Pelodiscus sinensis: one gene and its partner. The main gene of each other region encodes a partner of the protein of the gene in region 2 in a complex. Links are inferred from orthologs where the notes say so. Each region holds a gene or a part of one and is shown on either strand. Other genes may lie near its edges.

Evidence for each region. The genes of interacting proteins can lie anywhere in the genome.
Region 1: ERC1 (region 2) and PPFIBP1 share a complex: the UniProt entries of both Homo sapiens proteins name them as parts of the cortical microtubule stabilization complex. The link is inferred for Pelodiscus sinensis from reciprocal best matches to the Homo sapiens genes ERC1 and PPFIBP1.

What each region holds. Positions count from the first base shown.
Region 1 is NC_134711.1:120,150,131-120,157,647, reverse strand, and holds the start of PPFIBP1 (liprin-beta-1), read right to left. Parts: upstream 3,010-7,517; 5' UTR 2,853-3,009; exon of another isoform or gene 2,849-2,852; intron 2,788-2,848; exon of another isoform or gene 2,484-2,787; intron 2,141-2,483; exon of another isoform or gene 1,656-2,140; intron 1-1,655. UniProt on the Homo sapiens protein: May regulate the disassembly of focal adhesions. Did not bind receptor-like tyrosine phosphatases type 2A.
Region 2 is NC_134711.1:108,149,024-108,156,905, reverse strand, and holds the start of ERC1 (ELKS/Rab6-interacting/CAST family member 1), read right to left. Parts: upstream 2,950-7,882; 5' UTR 2,943-2,949; intron 2,663-2,942; coding exon of another isoform or gene 2,595-2,662; intron 1-2,594. Other genes in the region: DNA repair protein RAD52 homolog, read left to right, coding at 2,595-2,662, 2,950-3,068, 3,167-3,242, 5,026-5,222, 6,090-6,223, 6,993-7,076, 7,671-7,882. UniProt on the Homo sapiens protein: Regulatory subunit of the IKK complex. Probably recruits IkappaBalpha/NFKBIA to the complex. May be involved in the organization of the cytomatrix at the nerve terminals active zone (CAZ) which regulates neurotransmitter release.

The sequences.
Region 1 (7,517 bases), about 12 Mb from region 2:
GAAGACTTAATAAATCAAGTCAGCATCAAAGCAAAACAGAACCCATATCTCCTGGTTCCCAACCCAGTGCTTCAATGATGCCTCTCTGATTACCATGGTACTGATTTTACTGAAATCTACACTTACAATGTGACCAGAAGTCAGAAGTCCTTCACAAATGTTAATTCTTAAACTATGACTCTTGCCTTTAATAGAAGCAATAAATCTGGATTTGACACACCAAGACATTTTATTGTCAGACATTTGATCACACAAGCATGAAGAACATTTTTCCTTTGAGGACTCAGTTTGAGGAATGCAGATACTTGTTTTGCTCAGCTCTGTGGCATATACTGAAATGGCATCAATGAACAACTTATGCAGTGTAGCTGTAGCCATACTGGACCCAGGATATCAGACCCAGGATATCAAAGTGAGTGAGGTAATATCTTTTATTGCTCCAACTCACCAACAGAAGTTGTCCTAATAAAAGATATTACCTCACCCACTTTGCTTCTCCAACAATCCACTCAAACATTTTACTATTGAAATCCTTTTTGGGGTCAAAGCAACCAGACCAAACCAGCAAAGCCTCTGAAAGCTCTCAAGATAACTAAACTTTAGCTACACAGGCATAGTTAAAGCAATACTAACTACTCTTGTGCATAGACAAGCATTTTCATTTAAGAGTCAACAGTATACAATCCCCCTCACATGAACACAGTTATACCAGCAGAACTATTGATGTTAGGGAAGGTAAATAAGCTATTTCAGTATAAGGAATTTCTATACTGGTATAGCTGCATCCACACTAAGGGTTACACTGGTTTAAACAGTCTGACAAAGAGCACAACAAAATAGTTATATAAGACTGTGTAGACCAGGCCTTAGAGAAGGAAACATCGCTAACCCAAGGCACACCTAGCTTTTTAATGGTTGTATTTGGAAGAGTTCTACTGAATCCATGAATTATGAAAGAGCTTGAACTTAAGCACACCTTTCTCCTACCATCTTCCTAGAAGCAGAATGTCTCCATGGCTTGTAGCTAGTGACTTTCAAGAATACATCCCAGTACACGCGGTATGGCAAACCAGACACAGATTCAACCCTTTTGCTATAATGCACTATATTACACAGTAACAGAAATATGACAGGTTTAAATTTAGACCTTCTTCTAATCAGCTTCATTTTTCAAGCCTAGTAAGTGGCTAGTTAGCAGAGTCCAGTAGTCTAAATTTTGTCATCACCTGTTTACACACACACACACACACACTTACACACACTTAGTTTTCATCCCTATTGGCTGGCCTGGAGAGGATGCCATTTGATACACACCACTCTAGTGCCATGAGTCTAGCTGCCAGCTAACCATTCACTCACAGCGAAGCCAATTCCTGTTCCCTTATGGAGATGCTACAAGGTGGGAAGAAAGGGGGTTACCTTCCTTTGGACTAAGGAAAGCAAAACATTGGAAACATGACTCATCACCCTAGATTATTTCTGTCAAACCCTAGCTAAAGATCAAGAAACAGGCAATGTCTTTTGCAGCAAGGGGAAGAGGGGGGAGACAGGTCGACAGCTCTCTCCAAGAGAGTGGCTACACAATCTCTAAATACAGTTTAAAGTAACCAAGGCAGATATGGCTTTTAAAGTTTTAAACACAGTTGCTTCTTTACCTTTTTTTAGTAGGCACAAGATTGATTTGTCTCATTGCAATGCATAAGCATTAGCCAGATCTCCTTCTAACTTTGCCCGTTGAAACTGGAGTCCACAGCAATCAGGGGAAATAAAGAAGTCTATGTTCACATGAGCCCTTCACTTTCCAGAAAGAGCAGAACTTTAAAAGCAACAGAAAATGTTCCTGTGTTAAAATTAAGGAGGAAAGCGGAAATGGCTGAGACGAGCAGGATTATCTGTGCTGCTCAACTGAAATGTTTCCCAAAAGGCTGCTTTCCCTTAGATTTAGGAGACAGGTTTGCAATTAACACATGCAGCTGAATTTCACACAGCCTCCCACAGAATGCAAATAACTTACTGAGTGCAACATTTTTAATTAAATAAAAGGCACCTACAGCCTTTCTTGGGGATGAGAAAACCCATAGTGCTAGTGAACTCAATCAGCTTCTAGAAGATGATTTTTTTTGAGAACCCTAGTCTCAGTCACTACACTGCAACAAATTAAGCATGTTATTTGAAGCAACATTACAACCAACCAATGCTTCCTGTTCTCTTTTCCACATAGCATGGTATAAGCCTGAAGCCAGAAACTTATAGCACCTGAAGGCACCAGGTTTTCTTTTTCAAGGAATCCTCCCTCCCCCCTTTCTCCACAGAGAAACCATTTAAACACACACACATCCTTACAAACACCAGATTTGCAATGTACTACAAAGCATACAATCGCCTCCCCCACCACTTTTTTTCGGTCTGCAATCTCTCAGCATTTTCCTTCACACTCTGCTACCTCCTCCCCAAACAAATCCTTCCAACTATTGCAAACAAACCTTCTACAGGAAACCTTCCCACGGACACAAACACCGTCATGCTGCAAGGCAGACTGAATTAGGTACTGTCTCGCCGCCCTTCCGTGGGAGCTTTGCCCGATCCGTTACTGAGCAGCCCCGCGCTTCAAGTAAAAACCCAGAGGCCAAGAGAGAAGAGAAAGGGACAGGTTTTGTTTTGGAAGGAGGAGCAGGAATTGCAGAGGGAAGCTGAGCCCCAGGAACAGCAGCTGCAGACAGCCCCGTGTTGCAATACCACCCTCTTTTCCTGACTTCCACCAAAGTCCAATCCGACCCAGCTACCTGGGTGGAAAGCAGCCAGGTCCCTCCCCAAAAGTTCTGCCGCCCCTTCCCCCAGGCCGAGCGCGGTACCTTCTCCCTGGGCAGCCTTGTTAAACCCTCGATCGCCCCCTCCTCCCCGCCGGGCTCGCTCCCTGCCTCTCGCACCAGGGCAGGAATCCGAGCAGGGGCTGAGCTGGGAGCTGACGTCACTCCGGTTCCAGGTACCTCCCTCCCCGCGGGGAATGGCCACAGAGGCTCGGGGAGGGGCGGGAATGGCAGCCGGCACCCTCCAGCTCATTGGGGCCGGGAGCAGTCACTCAGGGGCAGGCAGAGCATGTGTGCGTTCCAGGCGGGGAGCGCCAGTCCTGCTGGAAATCGGGACGGGGGGGGGGGGGGGCTGTGGATGCGACTTCCCTGGTGTCTCTGGGCAGGGGGCGGTGGTTTCACGAAGCGCTCAGGAAGCCAATGCTGGGCACCTTCTGCATGGGACAGTCCTGACCTCCGAGCCCAAAAGGAAAGTGTAAACAACCCCCCTCCCCGGTTACACTGCAAGTGTGATTGACACCGGGGCTGCCCCACTCTCTGGGGGTGTTCCCTACACAGACTGTTCAGAATCGACACACGCTCCAAATCAGGGCCAGCGCCTTCCCCAACTTTCAACTTCTTAGGACACGCCTCTTGCACCCCCACCGAAGAGCAACGTCTCGCAACTCCCACACAGACACACACCCAAAGATTCCTCCCTGCAACGCCTCTGTTGATACTCCCGGGATTGTTCCCAGCTAGGCTCCAGCAACCTGTGGGCACCCCGCGGAAAGCTGCCTGCAACAGAGTAGGGAGGAAAACAGGAACCCAGCGCTGCATTCTCTAAACCTCTTGCACACAAACATCTCCGGAGTTTGGCTCCCTCGTAATTAGAAAACATGCTCCAAGCATTTGGATTTCAATACAGGCTTTATCCAGAGTAACCCATACTCACTAACTCAGCACACACAGTCAACTCTGAAGCAAAATGCAGGACAATGTAGCACTTTAAAGACTAACAAGATGGTTTATTAGATGATGAGCTTTCGTGGGCCAGACCCACTTCCTCAGATCAAATAATGGAAGAAAATAGTCACAGCCATATATACCAAAGGATACAATTAAAAAAATGAACTCTGAATGAGCCAAACAGGAAGAGCATCCACAATTCCCCTCTTTTAGGGACTATCAGTAAAGTCATCGCTTTTACTATGTTTGGGATCGTCTAACAACTATGCAAACCACTACAAAGCTCCTACCTTTAAAATATTACTACTACTAAAATAAAAATAATAAAAAGCAAGCATTTAAGGATAATAGCTTGTATAGTGTCCTTCTTGTAACATGGCCTCTGGAGATGTTTATTTTGGGTCTGCACATCCTAAACTCAAAACTCAGGTCATCTGAAGAAGTGGGCTGTGCCCACAAAAGCTCATGGTACCAGCTACATGTTTTGTTAGTCTATAAAGTGCTACCAGACCATTTATTGTTTTTTAAGTTTAACTTCTGGAGATGGTGGGTACTGGCCTCTGCTATGTGATGTGATATTAATAATTTGTATTCTTGAACTGATAGTTCCTGAATGGAGCCAGAAAATAACATTAAAGTTGGCCTTTATCTTAATTACACTGAGTATTCGTTATGTAAGCAATCCCACCTCCCTCCACTCCTGTAGATCACCTTCTGCGAAGATCTAAATTTGTTCCCCAACTAGCTTCTTCTGAATCAGAAGATGCCAACTGTGGATGCCAAACATGATCTTTGTTGCACTACGTAACTTGTCCACACTTTGCCTCCGTGATTTCTATCACTCTTCCATGCAAAAAAATGAGCCATTATAGAATCATAGGACTGGAAGGGACCTTGAGAGGTCATTGAGTCCAGCCCCCCCCCGCCCTCAAGGCAGGACCAAGCTCCGTCTACACCATCCCTGACAGATGTCTATCTAACCTGTTCTTAAATATCTCCAGAGAGGGAGATTCCACCACCTCCCGTGGCAATTTATTCCAATATTTGACCACCCTGACAGTTAGGAATTTTTTCCTAATGTCCAATCTAAACCTCCCCTGCTGCACTTTAAGCCCATTACTCCTTGTCCTGTCCTCAGAAACCAAGAGGAACAAATTTTCTCCTTCCTCCTTGTGACACCCTTTTAGATATTTGAAAACCGCTATCATGTCCCCCCTTAATCTTCTTTTTTCCAAACTAAACAAGCCCAGTTCATGAAGCCTGGCTTCATAGGTCATGTTCTCTAGACCTTTAATCATTCTTGTCGCTCTTCTCTGTACCCTTTCCAATTTCTCCACATCTTTCTTGAAATGTGGCGCCCAGAACTGGACACAGTACTCCAGCTGAGGCCTAACTAGTGCAGAGTAGAGCGGCAGAATGACTTCACGAGTTTTGCTACCAACACACCTGTTGATACAACCTAGAATCATATTTGCTTTTTTTGCAACAGCATCACACTTTTGACTCATATTCAACTTGTGGTCCACTATGACCCCTAGATCCCTTTCTGCCATGCTCCTTCCTAGACAGTCGCTTCCCATCTTGTATGTATGGAACTGATTGTTCCTTCCTAAGTGGAGCACTTTGCATTTCTCTTTATTAAACCTCATCCTGTTTACCTCTGACCATTTCTCTAACTTGCTAAGGTCATTTTGAATTATGTCCCTATCCTCCAAAGAAGTCGCAACCCCACCCAGTTTGGTATCATCTGCAAACTTAATAAGCGTACTCTCTATCCCAATATCTACATCATTGATGAAGATACAGGCAGTCCCCGACTTACGTGGATCCGACTTACGTTGGATCCCTAGATACGAACGGGGTGAGGCAACTCCCGCACATGCGCAGCAGCATTCCCGGGGCTCACTCACCTGGGTCCTAGGATCCTCCTCCTCCTCGGGCCGGCTCTGACTGGGGTCCCGCAGAGCTGCCGGGCAGAGGAAAAGTGCCTCCCCACGCCCGCTGCCCCCCCACCCACCCCCCTGCCAGCAACAGGCTGCCCCCTCCCCTGAGCAACAGGCTGCCGAACAGACAAAAGCAGCCTCTCCGCTCCTCCTCCCCTCTATACATGCTGGGCTCCCTGGGCAAACAAAGACTCCACCAACACAAACAAAGTGCTGGCCTCATTGTGTTAGCAAAAAAAGGACCCTCCTCCTAGAACCCTGGGTGGTGTGTGGAAATAAAGCTATTAGCTCAAAGCATGGTGCAGAGCTGTTTGGTATTTGATGAGTTACTCCTTTAGTCCTGAGTTTGTCACAGGGACAGAAATAGATGTGAAATCTTCTGAACAGGGGAACAGACAGCAAAACAAACATTAGAGGGGAGTTAACCTTTCCCTATGCTATCCAAAACTAAAAAAAATGTTTGGCTAGAGTTTCCCCTACAATATGTACCAGTTCCGACTTACATACAAATTCAACTTAAGAACAAACCTACAGTCCCTATCTTGTACGTAACCCGGGGACTGCCTGTATTGAACAGTACGGGTCCCAAAACAGACCCTTGCAGAACTCCACTTGTTATCCCTTTCCAGCAGGATTTAGAACCGTTAACAACAACTCTCTGACTACGGTTATCCAGCCAATTATGCACCCACCTTATCGTGGCCCTATCTAAGTTATCTTTGCCTAGTTTATCAACAAGAATATCATGCGAGACCGTATCAAATGCCTTACTAAAGTCTAGGTATATGACATCCACCGCTTCTCCCTTATCCACAAGGCTCGTTATCTTATCAAAGAAAGCTATCAGATTAGTTTGGCATGACTTGTTCTTCACAAACCCATGCTGGCTATTCCCTATCACTTTATTGCCCTGGCAACCCTGTCGCATCAGCACCCCACCGTAGAGAGGCCCGTCTGGAGTTTGGAGAGCAGCACCAACTGGTGGAACCGGGTGGTCCTCGGACTATGGGATGACCAGCAATGAATCAGGAATTTCCGGATGAGAAAGCGGATCTTCATGAAGCTGTGCACCTGGCTCACCCCCCCGCTCCAGAGAGCCGCCACCTGGCTGCGGGCACCCATCCCCGTGAAGAAGAGGGTCGCCATCACGCTGTGGAAGTTGGCCACACCGGACAGCTACCACTCGGTGGCACAGCAGTTCGGGGTGGGAAGATCAACCGTCAGAGTGATCGTCGTGGAAGTAAGTCCCAGGGGGAGTGGGGTGGGGGGAGGGTGCTGCACTCCAGGCCCAGGGACAGCCAAGACTCCAGGCTGGGTCGCCCAGGGGTTTGGGCCGTCCCTCCCTTGCACAGGCCCGGTGGGGGGGGGGGGGCATGGGGCGAGGGAGGGCCCTGGTGTGTGTGTGTGTGTGTGTGAGGACACAGGGAATCAAGGGGGGGGGCCCAAGGGAGTGCACACTCACCCCTGCCGTATGTGATGTGTACCCTTGTGTTTCTCTGCACCCTTCTGCAGGTCGTCCACGCCATCAACAACGTCCTGCTCCCCAGAGTCATCCACCTGCGCGACGTGGATGATACCATGGCCGGCTTCGCTGCCCTCGGGTTCCCCAACTGCGGGGGAGGCCTGGACGCCACCTGCATCGAGCGGGCCATTTCATGAACCGCAAGGGGTACTGCTCCATTGTTCTGCAGGCCCTCGTGGATCACCGGGGCCGCTTTATGGACATTTATGGGGGCTGGTCCGGCCGAGCACACGACGCCCGCATCCTCCACAACTCTGGACTCTTTCGCAGGTTGGAGGCAGGGACCTACTTCCCCCG
Region 2 (7,882 bases):
CCACCTTCCCACCTTGAGGCAGGATTAGATATACCTGAACCATCCCTGAGAGGTTTTTACCTAACCTTGTTCTTAAAAACTTGTATTTACAGGGATTCCACAATCTCCCTGGGTAAAATACCCTTATGGTTAGTAAGATTTTCCTAAATTTCCCTTTCTGACAACTAAACAGATTATTTCTTGTCCTACTCTTGGAGACTGTGAAGAACAATTGATCACCATTATTTTTGTAAGACTTTTATGTATTTGAAGACTATGTCTCTGCTCAGTCTTCTCTAGATTAAACAAGCCCAGTCCTTCAGCCCGTCTTCATAGCATGTTCGCTAAACTTTTTATCAACTTTGTTGCTCTCCTCTTGAGTCTATCCAATCTGTCCACATCTTTTGGAAAGCATGAAGCCTTGAAAACATGGTCACAGTACTGCAGCTGTGGCCTCACCAATGCCAGGTAGAGCAGAACAGTTACTGCTCAACTTTTACATGAATACATCTTAGAATAACATTTGCCTTCTTTTATAACAGCATCATGTTTGACTCTTACTCAATTTGTGATCTGCTATAGCTCCCAGATTTTTTTTGCAATACTACTGCAGTTTGTAGTTGTGCATTTGATTTTTTTTCCTTCCTCAGTGCATCACTTTGATATGTGTATTTATTGAATTTCATTGTTGATTTCAGATCAGTTCTCCAATTTGGTGAGGTCTTTTTGAATTCTTATTCTGTCCACAATTAGGGATGTTAATGGATAACTGGTTACTTGGGGAGCAACCGCTCCTCCCCCGCCACCTGTGTTAGGTGGAGGGTCTGCTCCAGCACCGCTAGGCCCTCACAAGGGGCTGGGAGCTGGCAGCCCTACACAGAGTTGTTTTTTCCAGCCCCCCATGGGCTGGGCACCTGCAGCCCTGCAAGGGGTTGTAAACAGCCACACTGGAGGAGCCCCAGCCCATGGCAGGGAGGCTGCTCCAGCGTGCCCCTTTTTAACCAATTAAATGGTTAAACTGAATTTTACATCCCTATCCACAGGCATGCTTACAGCCCTTCCCCGCTTGGTGTCATTTGAAAATTTTATAAACATATTCTGTACTCCATTATCCAAATAATTGATTAAAATATTGGATCGTACTAGACGTAAGACCTATTCAGATCCACATTTGATCAGTCCTCACACTTTGACATCAATTATATTATTGCTACTACTAATAATAAAAGGGATGTAAGGGGGCGGGGTCCCCAGTAACCTTGCCGGGTGATGCTTTCCTGTACCTAGTAGTCTGACTGGACCCACCAATCGCAGGTGGGGGACTGCTCCATGTGAAACAGTGTTTAATCAGTTAACTTTTTAAATGATAGTTTACATCCCTAAATAATAACTATCTCTTAATATGATTTTTTTTCATTTATTTGTATACCCATATCATCTAGAGTAGACAATATTTCCCTAGTTTGATTATAAGAATGTAATGTGTGACTGTGTCAAGTCCAGATATTGTATCTACTGCTTTCTACCTATCTACTATTCTGGTAACCCTTTCAAAGAAGGAAACTAGATTGGTTTGGAATGATTGGTTCTTGGCAAGTACATGTTGACTATTACTTAGTATTCTCTAGAATTGTCTTCTCTGGCCCCTCTTCCACCAATGTAATGTCCAATTCTTCCCAGGCCAAATGGCTCCTCGGGTGTTTAATAAAATCATATTCTTTTTATAGCTGGCAGGGATTGTCAACTTGCAGCAAGCATGCCAAAGATAGCAAGTTGGTTGAATGGTACACGGTTCAATCAGGGTGCTTTTTAGGATGCCCTGCAGTTTATTTTCCTATTTTTCTATCATATTTTGTACAGATAAAGTTTGTTTTTATCCACATTTGAGTTAACCAAAATTCCTGTTTATGTGAATGCACAACATACCCCATGCTCCTTCAGGGAATTAGAATTTTCAGTCCCAACAATGGAGAAATGGAGGGAGAGCAGCTGCAGGAGACAGGGACCTCTTTAATGTTAGGAGGAAGGGGGGTGGTAGTGGAGGAATTGATAGAGACCTGGGGGAGCAGGGAGTGACTCCCCTCCCCACCCACCCCCACAAAAAGCTTGGCTCATTCCGTCACTGCACTGCCTCATCCATGCTGGAGCCATCATGATCATGCATGCAAATGCTGACTTCATTTCCTCAGGGCACTTGGTATCTAAGAGACAAGGAAGGAAGGTATGGCCCCATATCCCTTCAAGTGGAAAGTCCAATACTTGGTGTGGTATTTTGTTGCCAAAGATCTACTTTTGTTGTGGGTTGTAATATAAATGGTGGATCAAGCATGGTAGCTGATGTGGAAGACTCAGCAGTGAAAGTTTATCCTGGCACATGAGTTTGATCTAAATGTTATGTATAGACCAGGTTTAATTCTGAAGCTTCTTAGGAATATGAGCATGAGGTAGAAATTTCACCCCATAATCATAGAATAATAGGACTGGAAGGGACCTCGAGAGGTCATCGAGTCCAGCCCCCCGCCCTCAAGGCAGGACCAAGCTCCGTCTACACCATCCCTGACAGATACACTGTTTGGATCTCTGTTGTAACTCCATCTCCTTCCTCTTCTCCCCAGATTTTGTTGATCTCAACAATGGCAAATTCTATGTAGGAGTTTGTGCATTTGTAAAAGTCCAACTCAAGGTAAATGGATGTGATTTTGTTTGCTCCATCTGCTGGTGAACTGCTAGTTGATTAAGTACCATGAATGACAGTATTACTGTGTGTGTGGAGCTGAACTGCAACACACCATAGTATTGTGTCAAACCAGACAATCCTATGGGCCCCTGGAAAGCTGAACTTACTAGAGAATACATTCCAAGCCACTTAATACATATAGTCCACAAACGAGAGATGTAGTATTTTAATCAGCTGTCTAAAAGCAAAAGTTCCAGTATTGATTCCTTCATTTTTTTTAACTCACCTCTCAGGATGGGTCATACCATGAAGACGTGGGTTATGGAGTGAGTGAGGGCCTGAAGTCCAAGGCATTGTCCCTAGAAAAGGCAAGGAAAGAAGCAGTGACAGATGGGCTAAAGAGGGCACTAAAGTAAGTGGAGAACCTGAACATTTCTTGCTCATTTTCAAAAGATGGCATAAGAATACAATACGAAATTCTCAGTCATGGCAGGCTCTCTTGTCCCTCAGGTGCTTTGGAAATGCTCTTGGGAACTGCATCCTGGACAAAGATTACCTGCGATCAGTGAATAAACTTCCTCGTCAGGTGCAGTATGTGGGACTTTGGAGAAGGGGAAAGCAGAGTAATTTAGTTTGCCAGGAACCTCCTTGTTCCTAGTTGTATACCCACATCATCTAGACAGTATTTCCCTAGTTTGATTATAAGAATGTAGTGTGTGACTGGCTCAAGTCTTAAAGTCTAGATATATTGTATCTACTGCTTTCTACCTATCCACTATGCTGGTAACTCAAAGAAGGAAACTACATCAATTTGGAATGATTGGTAGGTCACTGGTTCAATTCATGTTTTGAAAGGGATGGAAACCATGAATGTGTCTAGTGGCAATGATTCCACAATCTTCCTTGGCTGCTAGTTATTTGACTATTCTTTGTAAAATATTTTTCCCAATAGCTCATCAAAATTATACAATTCTGAAACTTAAACCCATTGTTTCTCTTTCCAGGGGTCTTGTTTACTCTCTTCTTGTCAGATTCCCATCTCATTCCAATCACTATAGTTTCTGAGCACCAGCCCATTCTGTATCTTTACTGCTAGTGGGTCCAGCTGCACCCTTGTTGGTAATAGTTTAAATAAATACTATTATAGATAGGGATGAACTAATTCCAGTGCCACATCAAAACATGTTACTTGAAATATTGTACTGTGCTATGTACAGTAGAGCTTCTTTTAAACTAGAAAATTTTCAGATAGCATCCCACAGCAACTGCCCCCAGTCCGCTTTCACTATTTGTAAACAACAGTGGGAGCTCTAGTCTAAAAGAAGTGCTGCCAGCCACTACTTTTCCCCCTGCACAGCTGTTGAAAGTTTCAGCTCTCCTCTAACAGTACTGCATTGCAGAAATCTTCAGCATACAGAGAACTGAAAATTTAGGGGCTAAGAAAAATGTGCTGAATGTAATATAAAAAACACTTCATTGGTCTCCTGTACTGACTATTCGTTATCATATTTGCTATAATGAAACCCCTCCACTTTGATATATTTGGAAGCCACCACAGAATATCTAGTATGCTACAGAAATTAGAACAGCTTGCCATAGACTTTAGTTCCAGTTTACCAGAGAGTCTTATATGCAGATGTAGAGCCCTGGGAGTGCTGACCTAAGGGAAGGATCCAGGAGGAGCAGCTATCAGTACCTGATAGATAGAGAATGCCATATTGGAATCAGGTGGGTGGGCTTGGAGGTGCTGATTTATTATCTCAGTCAGTACCAATGGTGGCTGAAGCACAGTATTGCAGCTTCCTGTGGAATTAATATGGACACTGCAAACTCCCCAGTTGTATGTGGGTGAGAGAGATCCCTCTGACACCACTTTATATTGTTCTATCTAGCTTCCCTCAATATGTGCTCAGTTAAAGGGTGGAATATATGATTCCACTCCTGCATTTGAAGGGAAGAAAATGGTCTGCCCAGCTCTAACACATGTCTGTGTACACATCTATAAATTTAAAGTGTGATTTTTTTTTTTTTTACTCCCTTACCTACCTACCTCCCTGTTGTGGGATTGTCCAGATTCTATTACTTCTATATTTAAATATTCTATTGTGTGTTGGTATAGAGGCTAGCCAATAAACATTCACTAACACTGCCAATGATAGTGGTCTGCAAACAACCACTAACTCCTTTCAGAATACAGAACCAAACCAATCCTTTAAGGACAAAAGCGGCCCAGATACTGGTTTAAGAACTGCTAGAGAGGGGGACACAAAACATGAAATATTGTTGTAAGATGCTTTGAGTGTCTGTGACTTTAGAGTTAATGGGGCGGGGAGAATTGGTCAATGAATTACAATTTTTTCCTGTATTAGCTGCCTCCTGAGTTGGATTTCACAAAAGCAAAAAGGCAAGATTTTGAGCCTGCAATAGAGAAGGCAAGATACAGTAGCTGTCTGCAGAAACATAGTACAGGGCAACCCCAGCACTGTGAGAGCGTGTCCCCACACAAACAGGGCCAGGAGACAGCTTCTTCAAGCACAACGGAACAGGAGCAGCAAAATAGCTCCAGGTGAGTGTTTAATCTGTTTAACTTTGTACTATAAATGAGCACCCCTCCCCAGTTCTGGTCACCTTGTGCTTAAAATGTACAAATTCCTCCATTTACTCCCAAAATTCCATATCACTCTAGTGACCAGAGCATATATGAGCCACGTTAAGTGGAAGGCTGGTTCTTTTAATTCAGACAATACCCAACCCTATATTTGATCCATAGCTATTATACCCCACATTCCTCCAGGAGCTTTTAGGAGGCATTCAGTCCTAAGAGCTACTTTATAAGGTGCACAGTACTGTGGCTCTGAGCCAGAGAATACAGGAGTCAGGCAGCTCCTTATCAGGCAGGAACAGAACCATGAGGTTCCAAGGCTGTAACTCTTGAGTGAGGTGGTTAGCGCTCTACTTCTGCTTGGGCACCATAGCAGGTGTCATAGTCAGTTCACATAACTGTATATGCAATATTTGCATTGGCTTGAGCTCCTCCCATTCCAGAGCCTGCAACAAGAAGTGATAAATGTTGTCTTATATGTAATTCAAAATACTCTGCTACTCGAGTTTGGGTCAGGTTTGTGTATATGGTTCAGGCACAAGAGCAGGGTTTCAGCCACAGATTTCCTGTATAAACTTGGACAGGTCCTAGTCCTGTGCTTGCTAGAAATGGTAATACTTAAGCCTCCCTGACAACCCTGAAGTTGTAAATAGATAATGCTTGTAAAGCATGTTGGGAGTTCGGGGAGCAGCTTTGGTTGGAAAGTGTGATAGAAGAACCATCTATCATAGCTGGATTTTCCCTAGCATGCTATTGGTATAAACTTCCCCCTTCCTACTGTGTAATTATAGCTGAAGTGCCATCTGACTGTGTGTTTATTTCTTGGAGCAGAAGTAGCATCTTAGCCTGTGGGAGCGATGCCACTTACCAGCGCAAGTTACGGCAGAAGCAACTTCAGCAGCAGTTCCGGGAGCAAATGGAAAAAAAACATCAGATGGCAGTAGCCAATCCCATCAGCAAACAGGGTAGGGCAGGCCACTGTTAATCTGCTAGTCTAACAACCGGGACTATATCTACATTAAACATTACAGCAGCACAGGTCTGCCACAGCAGGTGCTTTGCAGTAAGGGCTCTCATGGACCTACAGTATGCAAGTGAGAGACACCTCTCCCCTTTGCATAATTAAACTATGCCCAAGCAGGGATAGCATTGATCACAGCCACTTGTCAGTGTAATTTATGTCCATCAGGGGTGTGCTTTTTTCCTCTCTGGTTCCTGACCAACAGCCCTGACCAAGGTGCTGGAGTAGTCACAACCCACCCTTACCCGTGAGTTAGGCTGGAGTCAGGACCTACAAGGTTAAACTGTTCAGCTGCCTAATTTTACCACCACTTGTTTGACTGAAGAAAGCTTATAAAAAGAAATCTCAAGTCATACTTGTTCCCTATAGGTCACGGCTGTGGATTCAAACAAGACATGATCAAAATTGCCATTATGTTCTCTTAGGAAAGGCTTAGCCAGTGCTGCTATAGAGTACCAACTGGGAATATTGAGAAAACCAAACCTCTGCTTACAGTTCAAGAAATTTTTGGATATTTTCATTGCGCATAGTAGGCCTTACCAGATATCATTTCGTGTCTTGCCCTCCACACCCCCATTTCTAGTGAGTGGCAAGAAGTGGATGTAGGACAGTTAGTATCTTTCTGAAATTACCTGAATTCCTTCCCCCATAGGGGCATCAGGTAGTGTCTTTTGCCTTTGTGGCACTAATAGTTCTTCTTTACCTGTGCCTAGAAGCATCTCTTCAGTCACTGATGAAGCATAGCACTCCAGCAGCAGCGCACCAGGGACCAACCACTGAAGAAGAGTTCTTTGAAGGTCAGAAAAGTGGCAGCTGAATGCTGGCAGACTGTTAGCTCAAAGGCAGGATTTAGGAATGAGGGGGGAGTTGCATAGACCCAATTCTCACTTGAGCAATAGTGGCAACAATAACCTGTAGAGGGGGAAGAGAGGAGACCTGGACAGAGGTGTGAATGGATTCAGGGCCCCACCCTTCCATCAGTAGGTGTTTAAAGCACCCTACAACTAGAGGGGAACCTGCCTATAGGAACCTTTTATTGTAGCCAGTGAAGTTGAGAGATTCTGGTCTTGGTGTATATACATGTGAGCTCACATTCTTGTCAGCAAGAAGTGTCTGAGGCTGCACCTGTATGCTTTAGCCTGTACATGAAAGCCAAGTGCAGTTGCACTTTATTCAACCTTACTCTCTCTAGTAACCACACAGAATCCCTGAAGTCTTAGCTTCACTTGTGCACTATTTTTACACTTTAACTTTAGTTCCCTTTGTTCTTGTATCGACAAACTCCATTATAGTTTTACTGCTCTGGGGCCATCAAGTGAGGGCTGACACTAGGGCTACACTGCTCTGTAATGTCACAATGTTGTCTTCTTTCTGTCTCTGAATTGTTCCAGATGACCCTGAATTGTGGGACATTCCTCTGGAGACCACTGATCTTAGTGATACTGAGAGCCACAAAAGAGCAACTGTCTCAATCCAGGCTCCTACAACACCTCTTGGACACTATCACATGACAACACGCAGCAAGACTCCGCAAACAAAAAACCCTAACAAACCACATGAGAGAGCTACACAATGGCATGAGTCCCCTGGCCACAGGCCTAGC